3 linked regions of the Macaca fascicularis genome follow. The main gene of each other region encodes a partner of the protein of the gene in region 3 in a complex. Links are inferred from orthologs where the notes say so. Each region holds a gene or a part of one and is shown on either strand. Other genes may lie near its edges. The genes, in order: SMAD1, SMAD7 and SMURF1.

Region 1 (2,405 bases), on a different chromosome or scaffold from region 3:
CTTTTCTTTGAAACCAGGTTTAAAAAGGGAGGGTCCTTAAATTTCAGGTCTCATAAACACACTCCAGGAAAGATACACAAAAATGTAAAGGAGAAAGAATGGCATCTATTGGGGCAGGAAATAATCTAAGTGTCCTTCAATCTGTGTCCCTCATTGGGAAACTTTTTTGTGGGGGAATGGGTAGTGTTGGGATCATCCCAGCCTTAAGTAGACTGACTGCAAAGGTAGTCGTCATCTGCTGCACTGTGAGTTCTCATCCCTCCCCCTTTATTACCTCCTCCCACAGTCACGCTTGTATCTTCATCTGAAGTTTAGAAATTGTTGCTTTGGTTGACTGCCTGGTACTAACCAACAAGTGCTGTTGCTATAATTTCTAGAATTAAAAAGTTCATACATGTAAGATTTTTGTAGTTTTTCTTAATTTTTAAAGGTGTACATCTCCTGTGTTTTGTGACTGAAATTGGCTCCAGTCTCTTCATGCTGCTGTGTCCAGTCTCTGAAATAGTAATTTCACTCATGTTTGGTGGAGGATATTTAAGAAAAAAACTCTCAGAAGGGTAGCAAACTTTACTGATCCTAAAATCTAGTAGGTGAACAAAGGAAATGACAAATTTTTAATCAAAGTAAGCAATAATGACAGGTTTATTGAAAATTTCCAGTAGAGAAAACCCACTAGTTTTGGAATAAAAGTACTCAATGTACGAGAGCATAAGTGAATACAAAAGATTAACAGAAGAAAGATAAAACCAAACATAGTACAAAAAAATTTAAAAAGTTTGAAATGAATTCAAACTGGGATGTTCTTTAAATCCTCCAAATATTTAACAGTTACTAAGTTTGGCAAAAAATTCACTTGAAAATTAAAGCCTATTTCTGTACTGTAAACTCCGTAAAAACTGCTTATTAAATTCAAGCACTCCATATAACTGGTATTGAAACATGTAAGCAATTTCAGAATAGCAGGAATTATTCATTTGTTCTCACAGTTACATGAATTAACCAGCTGCAGAACTGCCTTTTGAAGAGCATGAGATAAAAGAATGCCAAAAGAGAGAGAAAAAAATGATAAAAATCTCTAAAAAATGGAAACACAGCAAAATTCAGATATCAGTTTGTTTCTTTAAAGCAACAAACTGAATTTTTACAGTATAGTCTACATTTGCAGTTGTCATTTCCCTCTTCCCCCCACCCACCTCAAATACTCCTAAATTCACTAGTCTAATCAATTCTTAACTTCCAAATACTCTGTACATACATATTTAGGAAAGAGCATATGCCTAGCATTATTCTGACAGCAAGTATGGTCAGTATACAATTTTAGAAAGATTATTATGTATATCATCAAGACTAACCTTTACTGAAAACAAACAAACAAAACCATCGCTAAACAAATAGTTTTAAAATATTATGAAAACCCATGAAAAGAAGACTCAACATGGGCTCTAAACCTGATAAAACACGTTTCAGAACAACTATTAATGCTAAACTTCTGCCCAACGATGACCTTAAAGTGCCAAACACCAAAGAATCTCTTAGGACCATTTTCTAATAGACAATTTGTCCCTGGCTTGGCCATTTCTCCTTTAACTATACACAAAGTCCTGCTAAAAGTCTGCATTTTAGTTTGATTTTACAATAGAATGTTACGATGTAAACTAAACAGGTTCTTGATATCAACAGTATGTTACCAAGGTGGGTTTTTTTGTTTTGTTTTGTTGTTTAAATTTCTGAATCCAACAGTTGGTCACAGAGGTCAAGTATTATCAAGGCTCCTTTGTCAGTTCTCAATCGTGTCTGACTCATCCATCCTTCAAGTACATGCAAGGCTCAATAGTTTTCAAGAGGCAGATGCCTGGGGCCATTTAAGACACAGATGAAATAGGATTATGAGGTGAACCCATTTGAGTAAGAACTTTATCCAGCCACTGGAGGGGGCCGTGCAGATGTATCTCAATCCAGCAGGGGGTGCTAGTAACATCCTGGCGGTGGTATTCTGCTCCCCAGCCCTAGGAAAAACATACTGGAGGTCATTTAACTTGTTTTAACTCAGTGGTTAAACTTATTAAGTAAGAAGGGTTCACATAACCAAGACTCTGATTAAAGCTATGCATCTTTCCTCCCTGCCCCCCGCCGCCGGGGAGAAAAAAACACACATATACAAACACACATATAATTTGGCAGGCAATTTCAAAGGATGGATGTTAGCTCCCCAGGGTCCATCCAAGGATTCCAATAAGAATTACCAGTCTTGAGGAATGAAGATTTTAAAATACATTATAAAGTTGTCTTAATAAAGGCACTGTAAAACTTTTATTTTAATTGCCCATTTCTGATAGTAATGTAATAGCTATTATTAAATTCTCATTTTATCAAGAAAATAAAACAAAAAAGCTATGCTAGACAGA
Region 2 (4,138 bases), on a different chromosome or scaffold from region 3:
GACCAAAGTCTTCTTTGAACCTTTTTAAACCGCCTTCCCATCTATCTAATCACGCTTTCCATTATTGCCGTTGATGCTCCTGGCACTCACGAAGTCTCCAAGTTTTCCCCATCAACCAGTCCTATTTGGTTCCCAAGACACTTCTTTCTGGACTAAAGCTTCCACGTATCAAAGCTGAGCCCACCGGCTACAGAGCGCAAATACAGGAAAAAGGAACAAAATGTAAAGCATATCAAGGGAACATCTTTGCAAAAACACAAAACAAAAACCCAGTCACAACAGAAAAATTCACCAAACTTCCAACAGAGGAAACCTAGAACCAACGTGAAGTGAAGCAAGTCCAGCACCTCTCCAAGCCTTTGCCTACACACAAAAAGCCAGGTTCTAGAGGCTCTATTTCTAACTTAAGATAGGAAGGATATTTTAAAAATCATCTACTCACCAGTTGGTTTGAGAAAATCCATCGGGTATCTGGAGTAAGGAGGGGGGGGAGACTCTGAAATTAAAAAAGCAAGAGAAAATAAAGGCCCAGCCATGAGAAGAGAGATAGAAACTTATGATAACAGAAGCATTCTTTTAGCCCAACTGTTTGTCTTAGCTGTGGGGGTTGGAGGCAGGGCCGCGAGGCGGTGATTGCCTTGATATTTAGCTGTCAGATAAACAAAAGAGGCCGCCTGGCGCCAGCCTCGGCGCTCCGCTCCTCCACGTCTGCGGCCGCCGCCGCCGCGCTCGGCTGGCCCGGCTGGAAACCACCGGCTCAGCCGGAGCCGCGCACTTCACAGTTCACAGGCGGGGGGCGACCATACCCCCTCCCCGTTCTCGGACTCCAGACCTAGCTCCCAGCAACCTCGGTTCCCCGCCCTGGCCCGCCCCCCAGGGGTGCAATTCACCTCCGCCCCCGCCGGTCCGCTGGGCACCCGCGCGAGGGACACGGGGCTCCCCATTCCCAGCGCACTCGGGAGATGCAGCCCAAGCGTGCTGGTGAACTTGGGGGATCTGCGGTCGCCCGGGGTGAACCCTCACATCACACTCCGTGTACAGAGACATACAGAAAAGGAAGGAATGGAGAAAGCTGACAGGATAAAAGGGAAGAAGTTTCAGGGTCTCAGCCGAGAAGCCCTGGCCCCAGCGCAGTAAGGGGCGACAACGTCACCGAGGCGCAGGGCCCCACTAATCTATAGACTTATCTGTGCGGAAGGAAGGAAAAAGTAGGGGACACCCAACTTCTCCTGGCTGTTTGTTCCTCTGCACCCTGGGGCTGGCAGAGTTGAAATGAGACAGATACCCAGTTCGGCCTTCCATCCAACTCTCTTTGCCCCAAAACTCCAAAGCTGCGCGGCCACGACAGTGTCTGGGCCACTTGTGTTCGACGTGATTCTCCTTATTTACTGAAGGAGTAAATACGGAGACCTTCCAGCCTTTTTATAGCATGCTTCTCCCAGCCTTCCTTGGCGGGCCTGGACCAAATCCAACTCGGTCACACACCTCAACGCCTTTCCGGGTGCGGGGAGGCGTGACCCCCCCATCTCCCTCTGCACCCCCTTGTTGATCCGGAAATGAAGGCGTCTAATTTTTAACCGCAAACTGTGTGCAGGAGCAGTGCCCATAGACCCCTTCGGGGCAACACAGGAGAAATCCTGGAAGGGAAACCCCAGGGAATGCCCTTTGAGTTTCCCCGTGTCCCTTCTCTACTTTCGGCCCCCAGTCTCCTCCCAGGAGGGGATGCACACTCCCCCTGGAGGGGTGGCTGCACAAACGCACTGCCCTAAGGGCTTTTCTTCCAGCACTGGCGCGCCGGAAAATGCTGGGGGTAAGGGGACAACTTCTCACCTAGTTCGCAGAGTCGGCTAAGGTGATGGGGGTTGCAGCACACCAGCTCGGGGTTGATCTTCCCGTAAGATTCACAGCAACACAGCCTCTTGACTTCCGAGGAATGCCTGAGATCCGGCCACCTGAACACTTTGCACAGCAGGAGGGGGAGCGAGTAGGACGAGGGCGGCTGCGCAGGCTGCGCGCTGGCGGGCGCCCCCGGGCCCAGCCTGCAGTCCAGGCGGCCGGGCAGCAGGAGGCACGCGGTGCGCGTCCCGCCGCGGGACTCCACGGCCTGGAGCAGCAGCTCCAGCTGCCGCTCCTTCAGTTTCTTGAGCACCGAGTGCGTGAGCGCCTTCAGATCCGCTTCGGCGCCCCCGGCCGCGCCGGCGCCCGCGGCTGGCGGGTGGGGATGGTGGTGACCTTTGGCACCTCGCACCGCCTTGCCCAGGCAGCATCCAGCCCTGCCCGGGCCGCCGCCACCGGCCCCATGCGCTCCGCTGTCCGTCGCCCCTTCTCCCCGCAGCTCGCCGCCTCCTCCACCTCCCCCCGCGCCCTCCTCCTCGTCCTCGCCGCCGGGCGCACGGCTCCTCCAGAGACGCCGGACGAGCGCAGATCGTTTGGTCCTGAACATGCGGGGCGAGGAGGCGAGGAGAAAAGTCGTTTGGCGGCTAAGGAGCGAACATGACCTCCGCACACCATGAAGAAGTCGGGCGCCGAGTTGGGGCAGCAGGCGCAGGCGACAGCAGCAGCAGCAGGGGCCCGGGCAGGAGCGGCGGCGGCCCGTGGGGCGCTCCGTGGCATGCGCCAGTCTCCCGGAGGCCGGGGCGCGCGCGGGGGCCCGGGGGCGCCCGCCGGGGATCGGGGGCCTGCGCTCCGGCTGCCCCACCCCGCGCGGCCCGCGCCCTGCGCGGCTCTCCGGCCCCGGCGCGCCCCGGAGGAACCCGGCCGCCGCTTCCCTGGGGACGGCCGAGCCTGCCCCCGTCGGCGCCTCCCCAAAAAGAGGCCCCCCCGCAGTGGCTCCCGAATGTCGGGCTCGCCAGCCTCGGCTTCCTACATGGAAGGTCCGCGGAGGCAAAAAAGCGAAAGGCGTTCGGCTGGGCTGCTGGAAGAAGGAAAAAGCCTCTTTCCCCCTTGCTAAGCAACTTAATTTGGGGGTGGGGAGAAGCAGGCAATTAAAAAAAAAAAAAGCAAGCACGCAATTTATTTTTTTTCTCTATATCCTTAGTAACCGGATCTCCTCGAATTCCGTGCACACGAAGACTCAGGGGAGGGGGCCGAGTGGACTTCACCCCGCATGAGATGTCTGGCGAAATAAGAAGGCTCTCGCAAAACCTAACAACCAAATATGCAAAGCCCCAAATGAAAAACACCACCTCCTCGAACCTCTGAGGTCTGGGGGCGTCCGGCTGGAGCTGGGGTTTAAAAAAAGAAAATGTTTACAAAGTATAACAAGATGTTTGAGGGGTGGAAAAATGTATCCACGAGTTACATCCCCCCCTTTTTTCCTTGCAAAGCCCCGCTGGTCTTCCTCTCCTTCTGCCAAAAAAAAAAAAATCGTGTATTTTTTTAATCCACAGAAAGCTTTGGCTAGACCGCTTCAATCCTGCGCATCTGGGTGGTTTAGGGGAGTCTCTGGTCTTTCCTCCTGCGCTCCTGGGGGCCCAGGTCCTCGGCGGGGACTTCCTCGAGGCTGGCGGGGGCGCAGGGGCAGAAGATGCTGCGGCGGCGGCTGAGCCCGGCGGGGCTGACAGCGCGGGGGAGGGCGGCGCGGCGGCGGCGGCGGCGGAGGGCCCCAGGCGGGTCGCGCGTTCTCGCCCCCCCTGGGCACAAGCTGCTTGCTAGTGCGGGGGCCGCCGGTGTCCCTTCCCCTGGCCGCGGCTGCCCGCCGAGGGTCCCCGCATGGGCTGCTCGCCTGGCCCCAGCAGCGGCGGCAGGAGGCCCCGGTGTCCTCTCGGCGCCTCCTCCTCCGAGACTCTCCTCGTCGCGCCCGGGAGCCTCCTTGTCCCCGGTCCGCCCTCTCCTGGCGCTCTGGTCCTTCTGCCGCCGCCAGGGGCTCGCCGCGCCGCACTCTGGGGCTCAGGGGCCGGGCGTTCGGCGGCTCGGCGGCGGCGGACTGGCTCTGTCTCGGGCAGCTCTCTCCCGCGCGGCGAGCGGACCGAGCACGGCGCCCGGCTGGCTCGGCTGGCGCGGCTCGGGGACAAGATCTTCAGTGCGCCGAGCAGCAAGCGAGTGTGCCCAGACCTCGCCGCCTCCCGCAAGGCCTCCCGCCCCCGCCCCCGCCCCCTTCCCTCCCCCTTCCTCCCCCTTCCCTCCCCCGCCCCCAGCC
Region 3 (4,188 bases):
GGAGGAGATTAAATATTACAAAAGGCATATAATGAAAAGTTGCCCTCTCTTCTCTCTTTTCTCTCCTCTCTCCTCTCTCTCTCTTTCATCTGAAGAGGAGAACAGGAGAATCTCTTCAGAGGAAATCAACAGTCAACATCTTCCAGTCATATTCTATACAGACCTATCTATAAATTTCCCCCTTTATTTTTATTTCTTGTTTTATTATTCAAATAGCACTCACACTAGTCTCTGTTTTGAATCATGCTTCCCCCCCCACCCCCACACTCAATAATGTATCTTGGAGAATGTTCCATATCAGAATATAAAACGCTATCTTACTATTTTAAACAGCTACGCATCATTGGGGATACACAACCATTTACTTAACTAGTCGCTGCTGATACACATTCACGTTGATTTCAGTCTTTTGTAATTTCAATCAATGCTGCAATGATTTTGCATATCAGACTTGACATAAATGTGTGAATACACCCATAAAAGTCCGACATGTAGACTTGCTAGATCAAAGAGCATAAACATTTATGATCTGATAGATAGTACCAAACTGCCCTTAGTACCTACTCTATCAATTTATATTCTCAACCACCAGGGTAAAAGACCTGTTTTTCCACACCCTTGTCTCATCACAGAAAAATTTCAAACTGTTTGGTCTGCCATTCTTCTAAATGAAAAATTGTTTCATTCTTACTTTTAATTTGTAGTTTGTTTAGTATGAATAGGACTGATTATCAATGAAAAATAATTTCTTAAAGAAAGAAAATGGGCATTAGAGAGAACAGGGCACAGTGGCATATACTTGTAGTCCCAGCTACCCAGGAAATTATGTTTGTTTGAGCCCAGGAGTTCCACGCTGCAGTGAACTATGATCATGCCAGTGTCCTCTAGTCTAGCCTGGACTACAGAGCAAGACCCCATCTCTAAAAAAGAAAAGAAAAGGAAAGAAGAAGAGAGAAAATAGGGTAGCCTTTTCTTTTTTTTTTTTTTTTTTTTTTTTTTTGAGACGGAGTCTTGCTCTGTCGCCCAGGCTGGAGTGCAGTAGCATGATCTCAGCTCACTGCAAGCTCCGCCTCCCGGTTTACGCCATTCTCCTGCTTCAGCCTCCCGAGTAGCTGGGACTACAGGCGCCCGCCACCTCGCCCAGCTAGTTTTTTGTATTTTTTAGTAGAGACGGGGTTTCACCGAGTTAGCCAGGGTGGTCTTGATCTTCTGACCTCGTGATCCGCCCGTCTCGGCCTCCCAAAGTGCTGGGATTACAGGCTTGAGCCACCGCGCCCGGCCAGGGTTGTCTTTTCACGTTTCAAATCCATTTCTATTTTCTTTTATGTGAATTGCCCATATCCTTTGCCTATTAGGTACTGGCCTTTTCCTAATTGATTTTAAAGGCTCTTTATGTATTAGGAAAACCACACTTTCATTTTCATATCCATTATAGATTGTTTTTATAGTTTGTCTTTGCATGTTTTATCCTATTTTTGCCATGGAGAAATTTTCCATCCAGCTAAAGTTTTTTTATTGTTTATAATTGTTTTTCAGCTGATCTTTTGGGCTTTTAAAGATATATCATAACATCTGTAAATAACAGCAATTTTGTCTCCCGCTTTCTGATGTCTTTCTGTAGTTATTAATAGTAACTATTTTGACAGTGTACATCCCTGCATTGTTCCTGATTTTAATGGGAATGCTTCCACAATTTCATCATTTAAAGATGATGCGGGCTAGGTGCAGTGGCTCATGCCTGTAATCATAGCACTTTGGGAGGCTGAGGCAGGTAGACTGCTTAAGCTCTCGAATTCAAGACCAGCCAGGCAACACGGCGAAACCCCTTCTCTACCAAAGCTACGATGATTAGCCGGCCATGGTGTCACATACCTGTGGTCTCAGCTACTCGGGAGGCTGAGGTGGGAGGATCACTGGAACCCAGAAAGTCGAGGCTGCAGTAAGTCATGATCGTGCCACTGCACCCCAGCCTGAGTAACAGAGCGAGACCCCGTCTCCAAACAAAACAAAAAATAAACATGAGGCTGTCCCATGGCACATTACCTGGCCTGGGAAAAACATAAAATAAAATAAAAATAAAGATAATGCTGGTTTTGGCTTCTAACACTATTTCTCTAAGGAACTTTCTGAATACATAGAGAATTTATCAATTCATTGTATTATTTTTTCATGTTTATTAATCGGTTCTATAGATTTTCTTCAATATAAAAGTACATTATTAGCTTTATTATTTACCTGGTTATTTAGGAATAAGAAATAACAGGAATCTATGACCATATTAACATTGTGATACTCTATAAATAATTCATAACTACTCATTAAAATATTTAATCCATCTCTAGCAGGTCCCTTTGTAATCTAAAAAGACAGATCTCTGGCATTAAAGATAGGAAAACTGAATCAAGAAAAGATTATAGTTCTATGCACCCCCTCCCCTTTCTTCACTGTGGTACTTGTGTGAATTAGAAATCAAATTCAGACCTTCTGATCCCCAATCCAGTGTTGGAGCCATAAGAAACCATCATGTCCTTTAGAAAACTCAGCGGATGCCCAACATACAAAGAAGAACACAGGCTGCCGTCTACAATCTGCAGCTTCATGACATGCTCTTACAGACTCCTGAAAGCAAGCCCCAAGTTGGGCTCAGGAGCTTAAAACATCTGAAATGCATCATCCAGCAGCCAGGAGGATAGGTTCCTGTTCAGTGATAAACGATGTTGCCGACATTCCTCAGCCAATTAGAATTCCTTTCAGCTGCAGTGGAGGTGAACACAGCTGGAATTACAGAGTGGGGCGCGTCACCAGACGGGCTCATTGTACATTATTTAAGCCTTGTTTTAAAAGAATATAAGGGTTTTTTCCCCCCATTAGTCCAGAAATGTAGAAACAACATTCCACTTGGTTTAAATATCGAAATGAATTAAATTGCGTCTGCAGACAAAACAGTAATACTGACATTTTAAAAAGAAGCCACATGGCTATGTGCTTTTGTTTTTTAAACATAGCTCCATGGCTTTCCTTTAACTAGAAAGGCCTTAGGGACTTTAGTCAGTCAGAATGAGTTCCCTGGACAAGAAGCTAATTTAGGTTGGAGGCTTTCACTTACAAACTCACTCACAAAATAACAAACCAGTAATTTAACTTGTTCAGTGACCAAAAAAAAAAAAACTGTATATTCCTTATTTGTTTTAAAAAAAATTAGCCTCTAAAATGGTTTTGAAATTATATAAAATTGATCCAAATAAGCATCCTATAAGTTAGCTTTCTTACCCAGCAAATCAGAGCATGGCAAAGATACCAAGTTATTTCATCCATTTGAGGCTTTTTTGAACCTCACTCAATAAAATGCACAATTCAGCTATTTTAACTGTTAACCAGTGCCCACAATGTTGTACAAAACAGCCAGTCTAGTTAACTGGATCACTGAGGTGATATTGAAACATTATTTGTCTTTTTGTCTTTTTTTCTTTCTTAATCCATGAGGAAATATTTCATAAATAACACAGCCTCCAAAACCTCCTTTCTTTCACCCAATGTTCCACACTAGAACCTGACATTGTGACTGAACCAAGAAAATGAAAATTTGTGGAAGAGAAAGAAAAACCCAACATTCAGAAATGACTTTTGTATGTCGTTTAAACTAAGACTAGAGGGTTTAAACTCTGACAGATGGGCTTGAAGTAAAAAATCTTGGTTTGATAAATCACAACTACGGTAAAAATGGAGATAGAAATAAAGCATATGAAAAATTTCATGTCTAAAGTCAGTTGGGTGGGCCAAGAAGATTAAAAGGAAAAAAAAAAGTATTTGAAAAGAGAAAGTTGTTTTAAAAGGCAACGCAAATGTGATCAAATCACAAAATCAATGATAAAAACCTCTATTTGGCAGGACGTGATTCTTCTTAAAGTATAATTGCAATTCAAGTTTTGCAACAGCATTTGTTCTAACCCATCCTACACCTTCCAATAATTCAGCTCAAAGAACTGCCTTAAGCTGTGTCTTCCTAAATTTGAGGCAAACCCTAATGTAAATGCAAAGGGAGCTAAAAACTGACCACTTATTCCATCTTATCACAACAACTGTGTTATATGGTTTTTGAAACAAAAGTTTGGCCTGCCTTACATAAGTGAGGTTCTTAGCTGGTACAAATTGACAAAGTCAACAGTCTGAACAATTTTCTTAATCTTT

What was found.
Region 1: the proteins of SMURF1 (region 3) and SMAD1 are in contact, whole or in part, in an NMR structure (PDB 2LB1), measured with the Homo sapiens proteins. The link is inferred for Macaca fascicularis from reciprocal best matches to the Homo sapiens genes SMURF1 and SMAD1. Residues at the interface, in NP_065162.1 of Homo sapiens: Glu313, Val314, Arg315, Ser316, Arg321, Tyr323, Val325, Asp326, His327, Arg330, Thr331, Thr332, Gln333, Phe334; in NP_001003688.1 of Homo sapiens: Asp221, Thr222, Pro223, Pro224, Pro225, Ala226, Tyr227, Leu228, Pro229, Pro230, Glu231, Asp232.
Region 2: the proteins of SMURF1 (region 3) and SMAD7 are in contact, whole or in part, in an NMR structure (PDB 2LTX), measured with the Homo sapiens proteins. The link is inferred for Macaca fascicularis from reciprocal best matches to the Homo sapiens genes SMURF1 and SMAD7. Residues at the interface, in NP_065162.1 of Homo sapiens: Glu313, Arg315, Ser316, Thr317, Arg321, Tyr323, Val325, Asp326, His327, Arg330, Thr331, Thr332, Phe334, Thr335; in NP_005895.1 of Homo sapiens: Glu203, Glu205, Ser206, Pro207, Pro208, Pro209, Pro210, Tyr211, Ser212, Arg213, Tyr214, Pro215, Asp217.

Annotation. Positions count from the first base shown.
Region 1 is NC_088379.1:150,443,991-150,446,395, reverse strand, and holds the end of SMAD1 (mothers against decapentaplegic homolog 1), read right to left. Parts: intron 2,007-2,405; coding exon 1,863-2,006; 3' UTR 612-1,862; downstream 1-611. UniProt on the Homo sapiens protein: Transcriptional modulator that plays a role in various cellular processes, including embryonic development, cell differentiation, and tissue homeostasis.
Region 2 is NC_088392.1:40,812,832-40,816,969, reverse strand, and holds the start of SMAD7 (mothers against decapentaplegic homolog 7), read right to left. Parts: upstream 2,934-4,138; 5' UTR 2,444-2,933; coding exon 1,831-2,443; intron 1,399-1,830; exon of another isoform or gene 1,286-1,398; intron 497-1,285; coding exon 443-496; intron 1-442. UniProt on the Homo sapiens protein: Antagonist of signaling by TGF-beta (transforming growth factor) type 1 receptor superfamily members; has been shown to inhibit TGF-beta (Transforming growth factor) and activin signaling by associating with their receptors thus preventing SMAD2 access.
Region 3 is NC_088377.1:47,714,561-47,718,748, forward strand, and holds the start of SMURF1 (E3 ubiquitin-protein ligase SMURF1), read right to left. Parts: upstream 2,864-4,188; 5' UTR 2,021-2,863; coding exon 1,873-2,020; intron 1-1,872. UniProt on the Homo sapiens protein: E3 ubiquitin-protein ligase that acts as a negative regulator of BMP signaling pathway. Mediates ubiquitination and degradation of SMAD1 and SMAD5, 2 receptor-regulated SMADs specific for the BMP pathway.